Arabidopsis thaliana: one gene and its partners. The protein of the gene in region 1 interacts with the protein of each later gene in a pairwise test. Each region holds a gene or a part of one and is shown on either strand. Other genes may lie near its edges.

Region 1 (4,113 bases):
TTATTTCTCTTAAATTTTTAAAACATAACAGAAATGTGGGCTTAATCATTAATTTAATGAGAAACAACTAAAAAAAGTTGCCACAAAAAGAACTTTTAGTATTTTAGTGTGTTAATTGAGCCGCTATACCGCATAAAATCTAAATTATATAACACAGATGAAGACTTATGTAAGAAAAAAAGTTGAATTATGTTAGGAAAAAGGTGTATTAATGAGAGGAACCTTTTCTCCACGATATTAAAGGTTGAATAATGTCTCAATGAGAAGAAGCTTTTCTTCACGAGAACTATATGATGTTTAAATTTCGCAAACTAGGCCATATTTTGCGAAAATGGTGAGTTATTAACCTAATATGATCAAACATTCCTAATTACACAAGGAAAAAAAAAAGAGAGTATATTCAAAAGATTGAGGAAATGGTTTTGCATTCTGGTACACCAAACCAAATAGAAAAGAAAGAAAACAAAAAAGGAAGGTAAATTTCCATGAAAATGAAAGCAATAAGTGAAGGAGAGAACATATTCTTTCTTTTTCCTTTGCGAGTTAGAGAGAAGAGTGGGGGGCTAAGCAAAAGAAAGAAGTGGGCGTGATTCTTACGCGCTGACTTAATGATCAGTCAATCTCTGGCCCATGGGCTTCTCGGTCATTTTCTCCGACATTATTACCTCAAAAGTTAGCCCATTGTGGACCCGCTTACTTTCCCCCTGCTTTTTACCGTGTTATGTGGGCTCCACATAAAGCCCAGTGGTCACTCCCTTTTTCCTTTCCTTTGTTTTTTGTCGCAAGCAGCGGGGATTAGTGTCCGTTAAACATCATCGACTCAAATTGTTTCATGCAATTTTCCCCTTTTTTATTGGTTATCAATCGAATAAACCTCTCTAGCTTTTGTAACTAGTTTGAGATTATTATGTGATATATGCACGGTACTAAATAAATACATAATATTGTATTTTGTGTGGTACTAACAACTAGGTTTAGTGAGAATAAAAACGACGTTGTAGAGTTTGTTTAGTAAGAATATTTTTGTCCAACACAAACTACTTTTAAAAAAAAATTCCAAACGTTGATATACCTATTGCCTATTGGAATAATCAACGCAGATTCATAGTTTTTTATTTATCTCCATACTTGGGTCAAAAACGTATGAGATTTAATGATCGAAAACAATATCCACAAATATGAAATATTTTAACGCTGATCTCAAACTCAGGTACAACATAGTTACATATAGCCGTGCTGCTATGTTTGAGAAAGATTATTTTTGATCACTTAAATTGTCATATGTAATAAAAAAAAACTTTCAGTTAAATGTTTTTGTAAAATACTGTTTAAAATTTTAGGATGAAAAAGACTGAAAAAAAACCACTCAGACAAAAAAAAGAGAGAAATCATTAACCTTTTTAAAACATCCTTTTTCTCTTTTATTTTCAACTTTCACATTCTTGATGATCAACATAGTGGAGCTTGGATCTCTTTTCAATCAAATGATTTATTTTTATTTTTAAAGCAGAGGAACTTTATTTGTATTTTATCCCTTTAAAGAGCTGTAGAAGTTTCCTTTTCATTAGCTACAGAAGTTGCTAGTTGTGCATAGTATATAGTTTTGGAGATATATTATGAGAAATTAATACAAAATAAAAACTGATTTAAAATCTTTCAGTTGAATTTCATGTGAAATAGTATGTTATTAATAAAAAACGGAATCATATACAAATCATTGTCAATCAGATTGTTTCGTGTATAAATATTATTCTGTAAAACCAAACAAACCCGGATCAGACACGGTTACCAAAGTTGAAATCTCTTTATTTGCACGCACTCACTCAAAGATAAAAAGCTTACCACTCTCACCTTTCAAAAGCCCCGCCACCTTCTTCTTCTCCCACACACAAAGAAAAAAGACAGAAAGAAAAAAACTTTTTTTCTTTTCGTTAAAGGCTCCACCTTTCTTTCTTCTTAACACACAACACATGAAAATCCCTGCATCATCTCCTCAAGACACGACCAACAACAACAACAACACTAATAGTACTGATAGTAATCACTTATCAATGGACGAACATGTCATGCGTTCAATGGATTGGGATTCCATCATGAAAGAATTGGAGCTTGATGACGATTCTGCTCCTAACTCACTTAAAACCGGTTTCACCACAACCACAACAGATTCTACTATTTTGCCTCTTTACGCCGTCGATTCAAATCTCCCTGGCTTTCCCGATCAGATTCAACCGTCGGATTTCGAATCGTCTTCCGATGTTTATCCTGGTCAGAACCAAACAACTGGGTACGGTTTTAATTCTCTTGATAGTGTCGACAATGGAGGATTTGATTTCATTGAAGATCTCATCCGAGTCGTGGATTGTGTTGAATCGGACGAGTTACAACTCGCTCAGGTGGTTTTATCACGGCTTAATCAACGCTTGAGATCTCCGGCGGGTAGACCGTTACAGAGAGCTGCGTTTTACTTTAAGGAAGCTCTCGGTTCGTTTTTAACCGGATCAAACCGGAATCCAATCCGGTTATCTTCTTGGTCCGAGATTGTTCAGAGGATCCGAGCGATTAAGGAATATTCCGGGATTTCTCCGATCCCTCTCTTCTCTCATTTCACGGCGAATCAAGCGATACTCGATTCGTTGAGCTCGCAGTCGTCTTCTCCGTTTGTTCACGTGGTGGATTTTGAGATTGGATTCGGTGGCCAATACGCATCGCTTATGAGAGAAATCACTGAGAAATCTGTAAGCGGTGGATTTTTAAGAGTTACGGCAGTGGTGGCGGAGGAGTGCGCCGTAGAGACGCGACTAGTGAAAGAAAACCTAACTCAATTCGCGGCGGAGATGAAAATTCGTTTCCAGATTGAGTTTGTGCTGATGAAGACTTTTGAGATGTTATCTTTCAAAGCGATTAGGTTTGTTGAGGGGGAGAGGACCGTCGTTTTGATTTCCCCGGCGATATTTCGTCGTCTAAGTGGAATCACTGATTTTGTTAACAATTTACGGAGAGTATCACCTAAGGTCGTTGTATTCGTGGATAGTGAAGGATGGACGGAGATCGCCGGATCTGGATCATTCCGGCGAGAGTTTGTTAGCGCTCTTGAGTTCTACACGATGGTGCTGGAGTCGCTCGACGCTGCAGCTCCTCCCGGAGATTTGGTGAAGAAGATAGTGGAAGCGTTCGTTCTACGACCGAAGATCTCCGCTGCGGTAGAAACGGCGGCTGACAGGAGACACACCGGCGAAATGACTTGGCGGGAAGCGTTTTGCGCCGCCGGGATGAGGCCGATACAGCTAAGCCAGTTCGCCGACTTTCAAGCTGAGTGTTTATTGGAGAAAGCGCAAGTTAGAGGATTCCACGTGGCGAAACGACAAGGAGAATTGGTGCTGTGCTGGCATGGAAGAGCACTTGTTGCCACATCAGCTTGGCGGTTTTAGATAAACCGGGTTTGGTTTAACAATATGATATAGAATAGAATAATTGTATTTACCGCCTTTAATATCTCTTTTCTTTTTGCTGTTTATCTTTCAAATAAAGAAATAAAAATATTTCTTACGAAGAGTCTCTGTATGAGCTAGAGTCTTTTAATGATTCATAATCTCCTCTATTCAAAACACAAGTGACCTTTTTTTTGCGAGTGTGCGAGTTCGTCGTCAATTTGGTAAAACCGTCGTACGAATCGCCGATGAGCGGGTTTGCTTCACAGATTCCATCCATGGCGCTTCTTGGATCTGGACTCACCGGCGAGGTAATCTTCCTTTAGTTTGATTGATGTTTCCGATTGTACGGCTTTTGTTCCGATCCGTGATTTGGGGATTCGTGATAAAGTTTATGATTAAATATGTATATTTAGGATTCCTTCATCTTCTGCCTTGTTGGAATTCAGATTTCTTCTGTACTGGATTGTTTTTTTGTTTGGATTACTCTTTGACAAAAGCCGATTAGAGAAAGAGGTGTTTCAATTCCTGATCATGTGGATATTCTCAACTTTTGGATTGAGAGAAACAATTGTTTTTCTCAATGGAATTTTCAGGTTGGGTTGCGTGTATTGTTCTCTCCACTTAGTTCCAATATCGTACTTCGTACAGCATGGTGAGTTTTTTTTATTGTAAGGTGAAG
Region 2 (3,505 bases), on another chromosome or scaffold:
CACCGTAGAAGAGGTACACCAACAATTTTAGGGTTTAGTTTTAATCAATGTCCATATAAATTAATGTTTGTGTTTAATATTGAGAATTTTGCAGATTAAGATCATGGGGAGAGCGTACGCTGAAATATCAAAATGGGCACGAGCAGGTCACGTTCCAACCTTTGATGACTATATTGAGCTTGGGCTTGACTCGTCAGGGATTAGATGCTTTGCAATGTACAGCTTTATATCGATGGAAGATTGTGAGGAGAATCAAACGAACGCGTGGTTCAAATCCAAACCCAAAATGTTACGAGCTTTAAGTGTTATATTTCGTCTTACAAACGACATAGCCGGCTTCGAGGAGGAGATGAGGAGAGGAGAAGTGGTTAATGGGGTGAACTGTTACGTTAAGCAACATAATGTTACCAAGGAATTGGCGGTTCGAGAAATTAAGAAGATGATTAGAGATAATTACAAGATAATGATGGAAGAGTTCTTGACGATAAAAAGTGTGTCACGTCCGATTCTGGTCCGGTGCTTCAACATTGTACGATTGGTCAATCTGTATTACGAGGAGGGTGATAATTTCACCAATCCCAATGGCAAGCTCAAAGATCTCATCACATCTTTGTTCTTCCATCCTCTTCCGCTTTGAAGACTTGGCTCCTTGCCGAAAAATTCATCTACATTTCTCTTTCCATTATTATTGATGATTGTTAATTTGCTCTATGCACATATTTTTCCATTAAATTTTAATTCCTGGGGTTTCAATTAGTTTTTACTATTTTAATTTATTTTGCATAGAAGTTTTTTTTATAACTTTCACTACCCACAACGACAAGGAAAGTTGACCAAAAGAATGAAATAATATCATAATTCATGTTTATATACGTTATACTATTCAATTCTTAATTCATGTTTATATACGTTAAACTATTCAATTCTTAATTATGTTTCTTTGCAAATAATATTAAATTACACACATGAGTTCTTGAACCAAGGAACGTATAAGTTCAAAAAATAGACTGGAAAGCAAAACTTTGTTATACTTGTTGAGTTCTTATGTAGGATCCAAATCTTGTAGATAAGCAACAATATATAATGGGCGGTGAGATTAAGACTGAAAGTATTTTTTTGACCACCGGATGGACCGTACGGATTTCCACAATTCGATACGGTGTGGTTGTTAGTGCCTTAGTGGCGGTGGTGACCATTATGCAGCCATTTAACTATTTAGGGTTGGAATTTGGCTCATGAGGTTTTACTACACATCAAGAAATTATTTGGAGACAGAGCATCGATCTTCTGCTGGTCGGGTTTTAGAATTTCATAAAATCAAATTTTGGTTAATTTAGATGGGTTTCTTTCCCCAATTCTTCGTTATGAACAATTCATTATTTTGGTCAACTTAATTGTCTATGACTCTATGGGCAGTTACATAATGTTACTATCATATTTGCTGTCAAGACTCTTGAGATATGGCATATATGGACTTTTGTACGAGAACCTAAAGTTCTAACCAACACATGATATAAAGGACTAATTGCTTTTCTTTTCATTTGGTCTTACAACAACAAAACACAATATACTACTTTGACTTAAAATAATTGATCTTTTATATGAAACACTAATTTATCTCAGTATGAACTATGAAATCTATTTCCTAGTTGAAAAGTTTAAATATTTTGAACTTTTTGATCAAGTTAAATATCTATAATCTAACTAAGGCCCAGAATATACCAAATATGAAATATATTTATCAAGGCCATGTCAATTTTCTTGGAAGGCATGTACAAAGTTTTTACTGAAAACATATTTGATGTGTAAAAAAATATTTCTAAAAAAATTTAGAACCCAAATCATATAAATATCAAACTTGTCTTCAATCAAAAAAATAATATTCAATCAGCGTTTTCTTTCAAATACACACAACACACTATTTGTACACGCTTAAAGACAGCTTTGCTAATGTACAATATCCATGTAAGTAATAGAGACCCATGCATGCATGACAGCATATTTCCACTTCACAAGTAACTACGTAGGAAGCTCACTTCACCTGAAACCAAACAAGCCATCCACAAATTCTATTCCCTCATTTATTGTCTTCTTTATTTCTCTATATATACAATTTCACTTAACCACTGACTCTATAACTCAAAACTTCTAAACTAATTCGCACAGTTCTATATACACTCACAAACACACACACACACAATATAGTGCTACTAAAATAACCTTGTATTAATTATGGAAAACACTTACGTTGGCCAACGAGATTACCGCTTCAACGTTAACCAGTTGTCCTACAGAGGCATTCGTCGGAGGAAATGGGGCAAATGGGTATCGGAGATCCGAGAACCCGGTAAGAAAACAAGGATTTGGCTTGGAAGCTACGAGACGGCCGAGATGGCTGCAGCGGCCTACGATGCTGCGGCTCTTCACCTCCGAGGACGTGGGACCAATCTCAACTTTCCGGAACTCGTCGACAGTTTTCCTCGGCCGGAAAGCTCTAGTTCGGAGCACATTCAAGCGGCTGCACAAGATGCAGCACTTATGTTTAAACCAGGTAGGTTGAGTGAACCAGCTCTCGAGTCTGGTCAAGGACTTTCTCGAGTAGGATTGTCTCCGGATCAGATTCAAGCGATTAATGAGTCTCCATTAGACTCGCCGAGGATGGGGTGGATGCAGGATTTGGAAGTTGCTGACTACGAAGAATTATACGGACAATTTTTTGGTCAGCACGATAGGGATGAGTTTTTTGAAATGCAGCAATTTCAGTCCATATGGAATTCTAATAATTGATATACGTTCGCTTAATTGCTTAACCATTTGATTTTTTTTTTAATAATGTCATATCATCAACCAAGGTTTTTCGATTATATTCAGTAAAGTATAATAAATTTTCGACCCTTACTGTTTTTCTTGGGTTCAATTTGTAATCTCTTAACAATGATGATGTCATAAATACCAATATGATTAATTCAAATTTTCAATATATATGTAATGTTTTGGTTCCTTGTCAGTCAGATAGTATCATATGGTTTATACGAGAAATAAATATAAACCAAGGAAAAAACTCAATCCAAGAAAAAAAAATGTTATCTTATAAAAACTTAGAAAAAAGGGTGGTTACCTTGTGCTTCGTCTTCGGTTTTCGTTGTGGTATTCGTTAAATTGGAATAAGACTAACTCCGAAAAATAGGTAAGATTATAGACCAAAAACCTGAAACTCCTATGGTTTATTAAAAACAAAATTATTTGATGAAAGTCCATTATGTAGACACATATAACCCATAATATATACACACGAGCTGACGTGCACGTACCAATTCGTACTATGGCCGCCTCAAAAGTACAGGTTTATTCCATATTATAGTGAGCATGAGTCCGTTGAAAAGCTTTGATTACCTAAAGATATACTATAATCAGTATCAATAACAACTGTTGCAGTCAATATTATATTAGTATGAAATGTTTTAATTGTCCCATACGTTCAGTTTTCTGTTAGGCCTAATTGCGT
Region 3 (4,656 bases), on another chromosome or scaffold:
ACTAACCAATTCAGGAGTAGAAAACTAAGAGAATTATAAAACAGGTAAGAACTTACCTTCCCCTTCACAATTTGCACAAACTAAACTGTTTGGTTTAGTGCCCTGAGGATTATTGTTTGCGGCCTATTGATACCACAGAATGAGATTTTGCATTAACGAAATGGTCAATGAAGTAAGCAAATTTTATAGAGAAGAGAAGAGTTTGGGAAAATTCTAACCTTAACTTCAAAACTTTGGGATCTTGAAGTCTGAAGCAGTTCTCTCTTCTGTACCAAGGAAGAGGTGTTATCATTAGTTGAGAAGAAGTGAGAAGGTTTAGGGTTTTTGCTTGGAGATTGGAAGCAAAAGGTAGGAGGAGAAGAGAAGAAGCATAGTGAATTCGCCATTTTCTGTTTTCTGATTCTTCTTACCCACTCGATAGCAAAGATAAGATGGCTCCTCTCACTTCTCTTTTTCTCAAGTGCCTATTTTACCAAAATACCATCATATTCTTTATCCAATCCAAACCAAAACCTATTAACCGGTTTTGTCTTTTAAACCCAATTTCACATTTTAGTTTCCATTAGAAAGCTTTTTTCTTAAAAAGAAATTTGATTTTTTTTGTTCTGTTTCTGTGTTTTTAGAATCTTAAGACAAAAGAAAATGACAATGGTTAGAGCTAATTTACTTATTTATCTCAAACGACCCATCAAGGCCATAACTTCCTGATCCTATGAACAACCATCAAAAACAAGAAATAGCCAAGGCCAAACCCACAAGGACATCAGAACGATGTATTAAAAAATACAAAACCAGAGTCCTTCATAAGTTGCCATGTCTTATAACTTGCGTTGCTACTCCATGTGGAGCCGTTCAAGACCTCATTCACTGGCTTTCAGCCGCTCTCCAAGTAGCCGAGAAGACCACGAGTCAGCCGCGCTAGCATACCTTGGACATGGCTTACTCACATTTGAGCTATTAAACATCAAAGGCTGCTGCGCTTGAGTCATTTCTGAGATATCTTGTGTCTGGGGATCAGGTTGTATTGGAAGGACAAGAACTGTTGCAGGAGGATGAAGAGTTGTAGCAGATTGTTGAAAGCCGGGGCCTTGGAAAATGGGAAGTCCTGGGAACTGAGATACACGTTCAGGATGTTGTTGTTGATAATGATGATGATGGTACTCGGGTGCAGGAGAGGTGTTCAAGTCAGGTTTCGACTGATTCGCTCTAGCTTCAATCTCGTTTTGTAGTTTCGAAATCTCAGTCTCAAGCACTGATGTTTCTTCCTTGAGCTCATTCTTCTCTGTGGTTACCTACACACAACACCAGTTTCCATCAACAAGACCATTTAGAAAAATACAAAGATGAAGTAACTTCTTGAAGCAACATTCGTCTTAGTTGTTGATTCACGTCACAGAATACATAAACACAATCAATGTGCATATAGAAATTGACTTACATAGCTAGATTCAGATAGGAGAGAAGCATGCTCCTTTCTAAGAGACTCAATTTGACCAAACACGTCCTTCAAGAATCGAGTAGCTTCGCATAGTATAGAAGCTTTCCCACTGTTCTGTTGATTCAGTTCTGCAACAAAGAAACATGTTCACAGTTAGATATCACAATCACATTCAAAATATCACAACACACTCGAGCAATTGTTCATTCAAATCTACGGAAAGATGAGAAATTTACCAAGAGTATCGGCTAATTCAATGAAAAGCTCATTCAAATGCTCACGCTTAAGCCTCTCACGAACGGCCTTGTTGATCCTTTTCGGTACTTTACCTTTTCTACATCTGTTTTATACACCAAACATAATCAATCCCCATAAATAAAAATAAAAGGTTCCATAATCTATTTCCAAGAATTGTCTCCTTAAGAATCACCTTTCATCTGCAGTAGCATTTGCTTCATCAGACGATGTAGAAGGAGTTTTCGATACCATCTTTGCTTTTATTACAGAACAAGATTCTCTGTCAAGTCACCTAAAATTTAGACATAAGATGATTAATCAAAAAGAACAGTGATCTTAATGAATCTAACAAATCATTCATCTTTATAATCAATCAATCACTCCTAATGTCAAATAAACACAAACGCACCAAGAAACATAGGAGCAGAAAAAAAAAAAAAACTTTCGTGTGATTTTTGATTCCTCAAAAACTGAAGCAAGTGTTTTAGATTCTGTCTTTATTACCCATATTCTTGTCAAATCAAATAGTGAAGAATAATTCTCAAAAATTACGGCTAAGTTCTCAACACAACAGATTCAGAGAAAAGAACTACCTTTCTTTCTCCGGTGAGAATCTCGTCGGAAACTGTAGACGATTAGGATTCGAAACGAGTAGAAGAAATAATAAGAGAATCTGAGAAAATGAAGAGTGAAATTGTTTTTTTTGGAGGAAGAAGGTCCGAAGTTGAGGAGGGCGTGTGGAGGCGCGTGGAGAGCACAGAAGAAGGTGGTGCGTTTAAGTGGACACGTGAGTTCGACATGTGCCTTTCTCTTTTTTACTTTTGTCTTCTTCTCTTACGTTGCGTGCCACTAAAGCTCATCTCTCATGGACACGTCATCGTATCTTTAATTAATAAAATAATAATATTAATCGAGTGGAAGAGTGGTTTAAATCGGGTAAAGTTCTATTAATGGAAATGTTTGTTGAGTGTAAATAACATTGTATTTTCTACAGATTAATCGGGTAAAAAGTTGTACTATCTGTTTAAGAATTTTATCGAGTAGATGAAAAGTAACATTTTCACAAAAATATACCGTAGAACACCAAAAAAAAAAAACAGGGGCATGTGGGGTCAACGTGAAGGATAATAAAGGCATGGAAACGCGCCGTCGAGAGCTGATGACGTGTCTGTCGTGTGTTTCCCACAAACTCTATTTATTGACGGTATGATGATTAGTATACACATTTTTAATGGCATAGTCAAATTCAGTGGGTGAGGAAAAATTGAAGATAGGAAATTAAAAAGAAATAACGAAATTATATTAATCTGCCTATTCCTCTTCTCCTTCATTTTGAATTCAAAAACCGAAATACTATATATAGTTTTGCGGTTCGAATGATGACTGTATTTTGTGATACGGAAAAAGTATGGGACGGTTCAAATAATAACAAAAATACATAGATATATATGTATATATAGAGATTTTTTATACTGTTACAGTTACGGTACGGTTTTGGGGGCGGTCTATGTCACCATTCATACACTGTGATTAAGAAACATACAAAAGGCGTTTTCTTGTTTTTTTATTAAAACTACAATACAGTTACCAATCAATACTTTTAACAAATTTGCGTTTTTCGAAAAAAAAAAGAAAAAAGTTTGCAATTTTGTCCTAAAAACAATACACTGGAATGCTTTTCAAAAGAAGAAAAATCATTTACCTAGTGTTTTTGCTCAAAACCGCATTCCAACAAAAAAATCGTTCATTACTCCATTACTTAAGCAAATTGTTATGTCCTACGTCCCAACCAAAAGTTTCTCAGCCTTTGCCTCTTCCATACACACATCCCTCGTTTATTACTCCATTACTTAAGCAAATTTTAATTTTTTTTCCATTAGCTTCCCCATTTAAATATATGTACAAAAAAAGAGAGTATATGTGTGCATCAGAATCACTAGTTACCTAGTGCATAAAAGAAAAAAATATACGTAGGACATAACAATTTGCTTAACTAATGGACTTTAATATATATATATATATATATATATATATATATATATATATGCAATAATTATAGTTTTATTCTTTTTATTTAATTAAAATCTAAGAAAATGTAATTACAAGAAATAGAAATATCATAATACTTATAGAAATTTTGACAATTATTATCCACTATAAGCTTATATAAGTTCTATAATCAATTTACTAGTAAAAAATTATGATTTTTTTTTCAATTTTTTATGATGAAACTATTCAACGAATTTAATAATATGTATGTTAAACTTTAAAAATGTATATTTTGATTTATTTATGTATTAATAATTTATAAATATATGTTATTGCTTATTTATTAACACAAAAATAATAATTAATTATTAATATATATATATATATATAATTTATAATCCGCACCGCAAATAATTTTTTCATCAATCAAACATTATTCTGTACCGCTTATTTTGTACAAACCATATTTGTCCCGCAAATATATTTTTCTCGCACGTACCGTAATTGAACTGTACTGCAATGTTATACCACTTTTCTCACATATTAAAAACCGAGGTTACCATTCGGACCATAATATATTTTTTCATCAATTGTTTGCATTATAAAAAGAAAAAAAAAAAGAAGAACAAATCGGAGGGTTCAGATTTCAGAAACAAAATACCGAACCGCTAGGTCGTTGGTTTTGCCGGTTCGTTTGCACCGGGATTTTAGAGCTAGACAGGGACCAAATAATTAAGCGGATCGTGGGTATTACCGGTCCGGGTCCGGAAAAACATCTGTTAGAAACTAATCTCGTTTGGCCCAAACCCAAAAAAGCTAGCTTCACGGCGTTTGTTGTTCTTCCTCGCTCTTCGCCGCCTTCACTCGCAGTCGCAGGTAAGCTTCTTCAATTCCCCTCTTAAATCAACTAACGCTTCCTAATTCCTCCTCTGGCTTCGTTCCTCTCCTTTTTTCCAAGGTTTGTGTCAATCTGAAATCAAAATGATCAAATG
Region 4 (4,666 bases), on another chromosome or scaffold:
TAAGCCATGCTAATAATTTTTTATTCTGTTTCTAGTACCTCTTAAAAGGTATATGCCTAAAAAACACAGTATTGGTATCGGTTTGCAGATATAGTGGAATAACAGCTGTGATGATGGAGGGAGTTACAACAACACTTAAAGATATTCAGGTTTCACTATTTCCTTTATAACGTCTTATTAGATACTGATTAGGATGTTTGAAATGAAGACTCGTAATGGTCTAGTATAATTAGAGTCGTTTGCTATGTTCAGGAAGAGTTCTTAAAGCTGGTTTTCAAAGAGACCATATTAGTCGGACACTCCTTGGAAAATGACTTGTTGTCTTTGAAGATCTCTCATAATCTGGTGATTGACACTGCAGTACTATACAAGCATCCACATGGAAGATCTTATAAAACTAAACTTCGAATTCTAGCAAAAAAGTTTCTTGCTAGAGAGATACAGGAGTCTGAATCCGGACATGACAGCGCAGAGGATGCAAAAGCAGCCATGGATTTGGCACTATTGAAGATAAAACATGGCAAGAACTTTCTATCCTTAACCTCGCTATTTAACTCTTGTTTTTATTTTCTATGTATCCTTTTTTAAGTGATTTTCTTTTCTGGCTTCCTCTAGGACCTGATTTTGGTTCACCACCGGAAGTGATAAGAAAAAAGCTCCTCGCCGTTTTAAATGAGAGCGGGAAAACGACTTCTATAATTGACAATATCAACATCGTGAAGCGATATGCTTCTGAGTCATCAAATGCAATTCCAGTTTCGTCTGACGACGAAGCACTTTCAAAGGCCGTGAAGGAGGTAAAAACTTCTGAATCCATTTTTATGCCTCTGTATTTCTCGCCAGCTACATAAAAGTAAAATGTATGTGTGTGTACGCTTCTAGGTAAAGAACAAGCGGTCTCAATTCGTTTGGACACAGTTCTCAGAATTGAATGCACATTTCCAGAGCAGAGCGGATGATCCACAGAAACTAAACTCCAGACTAGCCGAGATGATCTCATTGCTTACATGTAACAAAAAGTCCGGCCTTAAGAAAAGCAATGTCTCACCTGAAACAAAGGAAATCTTAAAGAAAATGAATGAAAGAGTCCAATCCCTTTATGCTGCATTACCTACAAATGCGATGTTTATAGTTTGCACCGGACACGGAGACACATCCATTGTACACAGGTTTGTAGCACTCTATCCAAATCGTAAGTGTTTAGACATTCAAATCTCTTCTGGATTTGGAATCTGATTGGATTTTCTTACTTTCTTGCAATATGAAGAGTGCGGAAAATGCTTAAAGATGAGGATGAAATCGGGTTTGACCGTGAGAAACTTGTCAAGGTTCTTGAAGAGCTTCAAGCACAAGCCGAAGTAGCTCTCTGTTTTGTAGGTATCAAGCAATAAACTTAAACAGAAAGCCAAATTTTTTCCCTTGTATACCATATGAGCAACAAGAAACTCACAATTCAGTATTGTATTTTTTGGTAATATTGGTTTGTAGCATCTATTAATGGCGATTTTCATATAGTAAAAAGAGTTGACATTTCAAGTTTGTTTACAGTAATAAAAAGGTAAAAAAAACGGCCAATTCCAGCATGAATTTACAGAAAATAAATCCAAAACAAATATAAAATTTAAATTCGGAAAAACCTTAACCGGTCGGTTATCATAAACCAAGGAAAAAAAAAAACAATACCACCGCACGTGTAAAACACTCGGAGTCTCTCTCCTTTAGCGCCAAATTCCGCTCGTATCCTCTAAAAACCTAGATCGATCTTAATCAAACGATCTAAACCGTCGATTAACCCCTTTTCATCTCAACCGTTAGATTTTGTTGATCAAACTCTCATCAAAATTCAATTTTTTGATTTTTCAAAAAGATCTCAAAGAGACGACGACGAAGCAAAAGAAGAAGAAGAAGAAGAGAGAGCTATTCAAGCTTAAAGCATAAAACAATCTCTGCTCCTTATATAGTTCTTCACTATGGAAGATTTGAGTAATCAGAATCTCCTCCCGCGTCAATCAGATATCTCCATCCCTGCGGAGAAGATGGATTCGTTTCAAAAGTCGCTAGAACCTCCGCCGTGTTCTCCGGTGAAATCTTCTCAACAATCAGAAACGGAAGTCACACCGCCTCAGAAACCACCGCTTCACCAATTTGGTCACAACCAAGTTCAGAAGAATCGAGTGAGGTAAAAATTGGTTAATTTCTCTGTTCCATCAAATCTATTTCAATCTTAAGGAATTAGCATTTTTGATTGTTTGATTATGTAGCAATCAAGATCCATCGACCTCACGAAGACATAATGAAGTTGAATCGAAAGAGAATACTCCAAATAAACAACAAAAACATTGCAATTGCAAAAACTCAAAGTGTTTGAAACTGTAAGTATCTATTTTTGTTAATAGAGTTTAAAAACATATTTTTGTTTATACAGAGTCTTGTTGATCTATATAGGTATTGTGAATGCTTTGCTTCTGGATCTTATTGTAATGGTTGTAACTGTGTGAATTGTCACAACAAATTGGAGAATGAGTCTTCGAGACAAGTAGCTATCTCGGGGATCTTAGAGCGTAACCCTGATGCGTTTAAGCCCAAGATTGCTGGTAGTCCTCATGGAATGAAAGATTTGCAGGTTTGTGATCTTGTTACTTGAAAAAAAAAAGATGTAACTTTAGGGCTTGATGGTAGTTTTATAACTTGTAGGAGAATGTGCAGCAAGTGTTGCTTATTGGAAAGCACAGCAAAGGATGCCACTGCAGGAAATCAGGATGTCTCAAGAAGTACTGTGAGTGTTACCAGGCGAATATTCTATGTTCGGAGAATTGTAGATGTCAAGACTGCAAGAACTTTGAAGGAAGCGAAGAAAGAAAAGCTCTTCTTCATGGATCTCAGGTCTCGGATACCTACATACAACAGATGACCAATGCGGCTGTTAACCGTGCCATCGACATGTCTGCTTATCTGTACCCTCCTGAATCAAGAAAGAGAAAGAGCAAGGACATTTCAGATTCTGTAGTTTCATCATACGGTGTCCAATACCAGAGGGTAAATAGTACAATTCTGTGTTGATCTCATGGTCTTTAGCTTCAGTTTTTGCATTGAAAGCATAATTCTTTGTGTTTTTCTATTTCCAATTAGGCAAACCACGTTAGAAGAAATGGTGAAAATTCTCTATTTTCACTCCCTAACAACAAGGCCGTGTCCGGATCTACCACAAGTGCTTACAGGTTGGAAATATCAAACTCATCTTCTCTATGATATTGCCTATTTGAAACTACCGTGATACCTGACTAATGGCTTCTATAGGTCTTCTTGGTCAAATACATTCCAACCACATCATGTCAGAGAGCTATGTTCACTTTTGGTCTCAAACTCGGTTGATGTAGCAAATAAATTGTCAGGTACATATCATGCCGTTAGATGTACAAGATGATAGGTTAACGTTCCTCATATAATAAGGTCTTTGATAAGAGAATGTTTGTTATGGTGAAACAGACAAAGGGAGGAAGAACGACAAAGGCCCTTCTTCACTTGATGGAGCCCAAAGAGTTGCTAATGAGATCAATGACTCACCAGATTGTGTCCTTGATGCTAATAGAATGGACGAGAAGCCTATATCTCCCGCAACACGTGCATTGATGTGTGACGAAGAACATGAGATCGGGTCAGAGAAAGAGACATCGGCCCGAGTGAAAACAAGCCAAGAGAAAGAAGACACAGACACAAGCTCGGGGATTTACTTAGAGCAAGAAAGACAGATATTGTCAATCTTCAGGGACTATCTCATTCAGCTCTCAAACCGTGCGAGGATAAATGGTAACCTTGATATCGTATCCTTGTTCAGATATTTACAAGTAGAGGATTGTGCTAATTTAAGACATTATTTTAAGCAGGTAAAAATATCAAAAGCAACACAAATCCAAGTTGAAAGAAACCAGAAGATGAAGAACAAAGCCATCGAGACTCAAATTAGGGACATTGCTTAGGGAATTTTTTTGATTTTTTTTTTAGGATCATACTCATTTTTAACATATGATCCATGTCACATTTTAAAAAAATAATTAGGAAGATTAGACATAATTAAAATTTAAAAATGGTTTGAAGTTTATGAGTGAAAATTGTCACTACTATATCGCAAAACAGAGAATCGAAGATAATGGGCTTTGCATCGTTGTTTAGTTGATAATGGGCTTTGGAATAATAAAGGTCCAATCAAATTACATGACCCGACCCGACCCGTCCGAGAAAAATATTCTGTCTTCTTCATCAATCAACGGTTTAAGACTTAACACTGCAAACAAAACTCAAAACCCTAGGCACACACTCTCTCTCTCTCTCTATCCTCAAAGCTTCTTCTTCCTCGATATCGATTGAGAGAAACTTCGTTCTAAGATTCGAAATCATGGCGGCGGTTGTTGATATTGATGTCCTAACAGCTCAGTTAGGGATTAATTGGTCAGATGTTAATCTCGATTCAATCCAACTTCCTCCTGGAAACGACTTTGGGATCGAAAGGTGAGATTTTTTCCATTACATCTCTGCTTCTATTAGAATCTTCGTTTCAAATCTGAGAAATCGCTTAGTATTTTGAACTGATTGCGTTGATTTGTTTCTGTGGTGATTGGGTAGTGATGATGAAAGTGTTTACCAAGATGACCAGTCAGAATTCGACACT

The links.
Region 2: the proteins of HAM4 (region 1) and AT1G33760 interact in a two-hybrid assay, tested with the Arabidopsis thaliana proteins (one large-scale study listed by BioGRID).
Region 3: the proteins of HAM4 (region 1) and PYE interact in a two-hybrid assay, tested with the Arabidopsis thaliana proteins (one large-scale study listed by BioGRID).
Region 4: the proteins of HAM4 (region 1) and AT5G25790 interact in a two-hybrid assay, tested with the Arabidopsis thaliana proteins (one large-scale study listed by BioGRID).

What each region holds. Positions count from the first base shown.
Region 1 is NC_003075.7:17,304,090-17,308,202, forward strand, and holds HAM4 (GRAS family transcription factor), read left to right. Parts: upstream 1-1,668; 5' UTR 1,669-1,970; coding exon 1,971-3,431; 3' UTR 3,432-3,559; downstream 3,560-4,113. Other genes in the region: HVA22K (HVA22-like protein K), read left to right, coding at 3,680-3,742, 4,028-4,086.
Region 2 is NC_003070.9:12,235,712-12,239,216, forward strand, and holds AT1G33760 (Integrase-type DNA-binding superfamily protein), read left to right. Parts: upstream 1-1,835; 5' UTR 1,836-2,232; coding exon 2,233-2,787; 3' UTR 2,788-2,999; downstream 3,000-3,505. Other genes in the region: AT1G33750 (Terpenoid cyclases/Protein prenyltransferases superfamily protein), read left to right, coding at 1-13, 95-637.
Region 3 is NC_003074.8:17,565,306-17,569,961, reverse strand, and holds PYE (basic helix-loop-helix (bHLH) DNA-binding superfamily protein), read right to left. Parts: upstream 2,837-4,656; 5' UTR 2,760-2,836; exon of another isoform or gene 2,758-2,759; intron 2,487-2,757; exon of another isoform or gene 2,269-2,486; intron 2,117-2,268; 5' UTR 2,085-2,116; intron 1,968-2,084; 5' UTR 1,928-1,967; coding exon 1,869-1,927; intron 1,779-1,868; coding exon 1,675-1,778; intron 1,567-1,674; coding exon 1,439-1,566; intron 1,293-1,438; coding exon 861-1,292; 3' UTR 577-860; downstream 1-576. Other genes in the region: AT3G47650 (DnaJ/Hsp40 cysteine-rich domain superfamily protein), read right to left, coding at 57-123, 219-386.
Region 4 is NC_003076.8:8,976,486-8,981,151, reverse strand, and holds AT5G25790 (Tesmin/TSO1-like CXC domain-containing protein), read left to right. Parts: upstream 1-1,862; 5' UTR 1,863-1,970; coding exon 1,971-2,179; intron 2,180-2,261; coding exon 2,262-2,372; intron 2,373-2,445; coding exon 2,446-2,623; intron 2,624-2,694; coding exon 2,695-3,036; intron 3,037-3,129; coding exon 3,130-3,218; intron 3,219-3,297; coding exon 3,298-3,392; intron 3,393-3,486; coding exon 3,487-3,977; 3' UTR 3,978-4,095; downstream 4,096-4,666. Other genes in the region: AT5G25800 (Polynucleotidyl transferase, ribonuclease H-like superfamily protein), read left to right, coding at 89-149, 253-520, 616-797, 883-1,169, 1,268-1,391; EIF3B-2 (eukaryotic translation initiation factor 3B-2), read left to right, coding at 4,394-4,506, 4,621-4,666. UniProt on the Arabidopsis thaliana protein: Plays a role in development of both male and female reproductive tissues.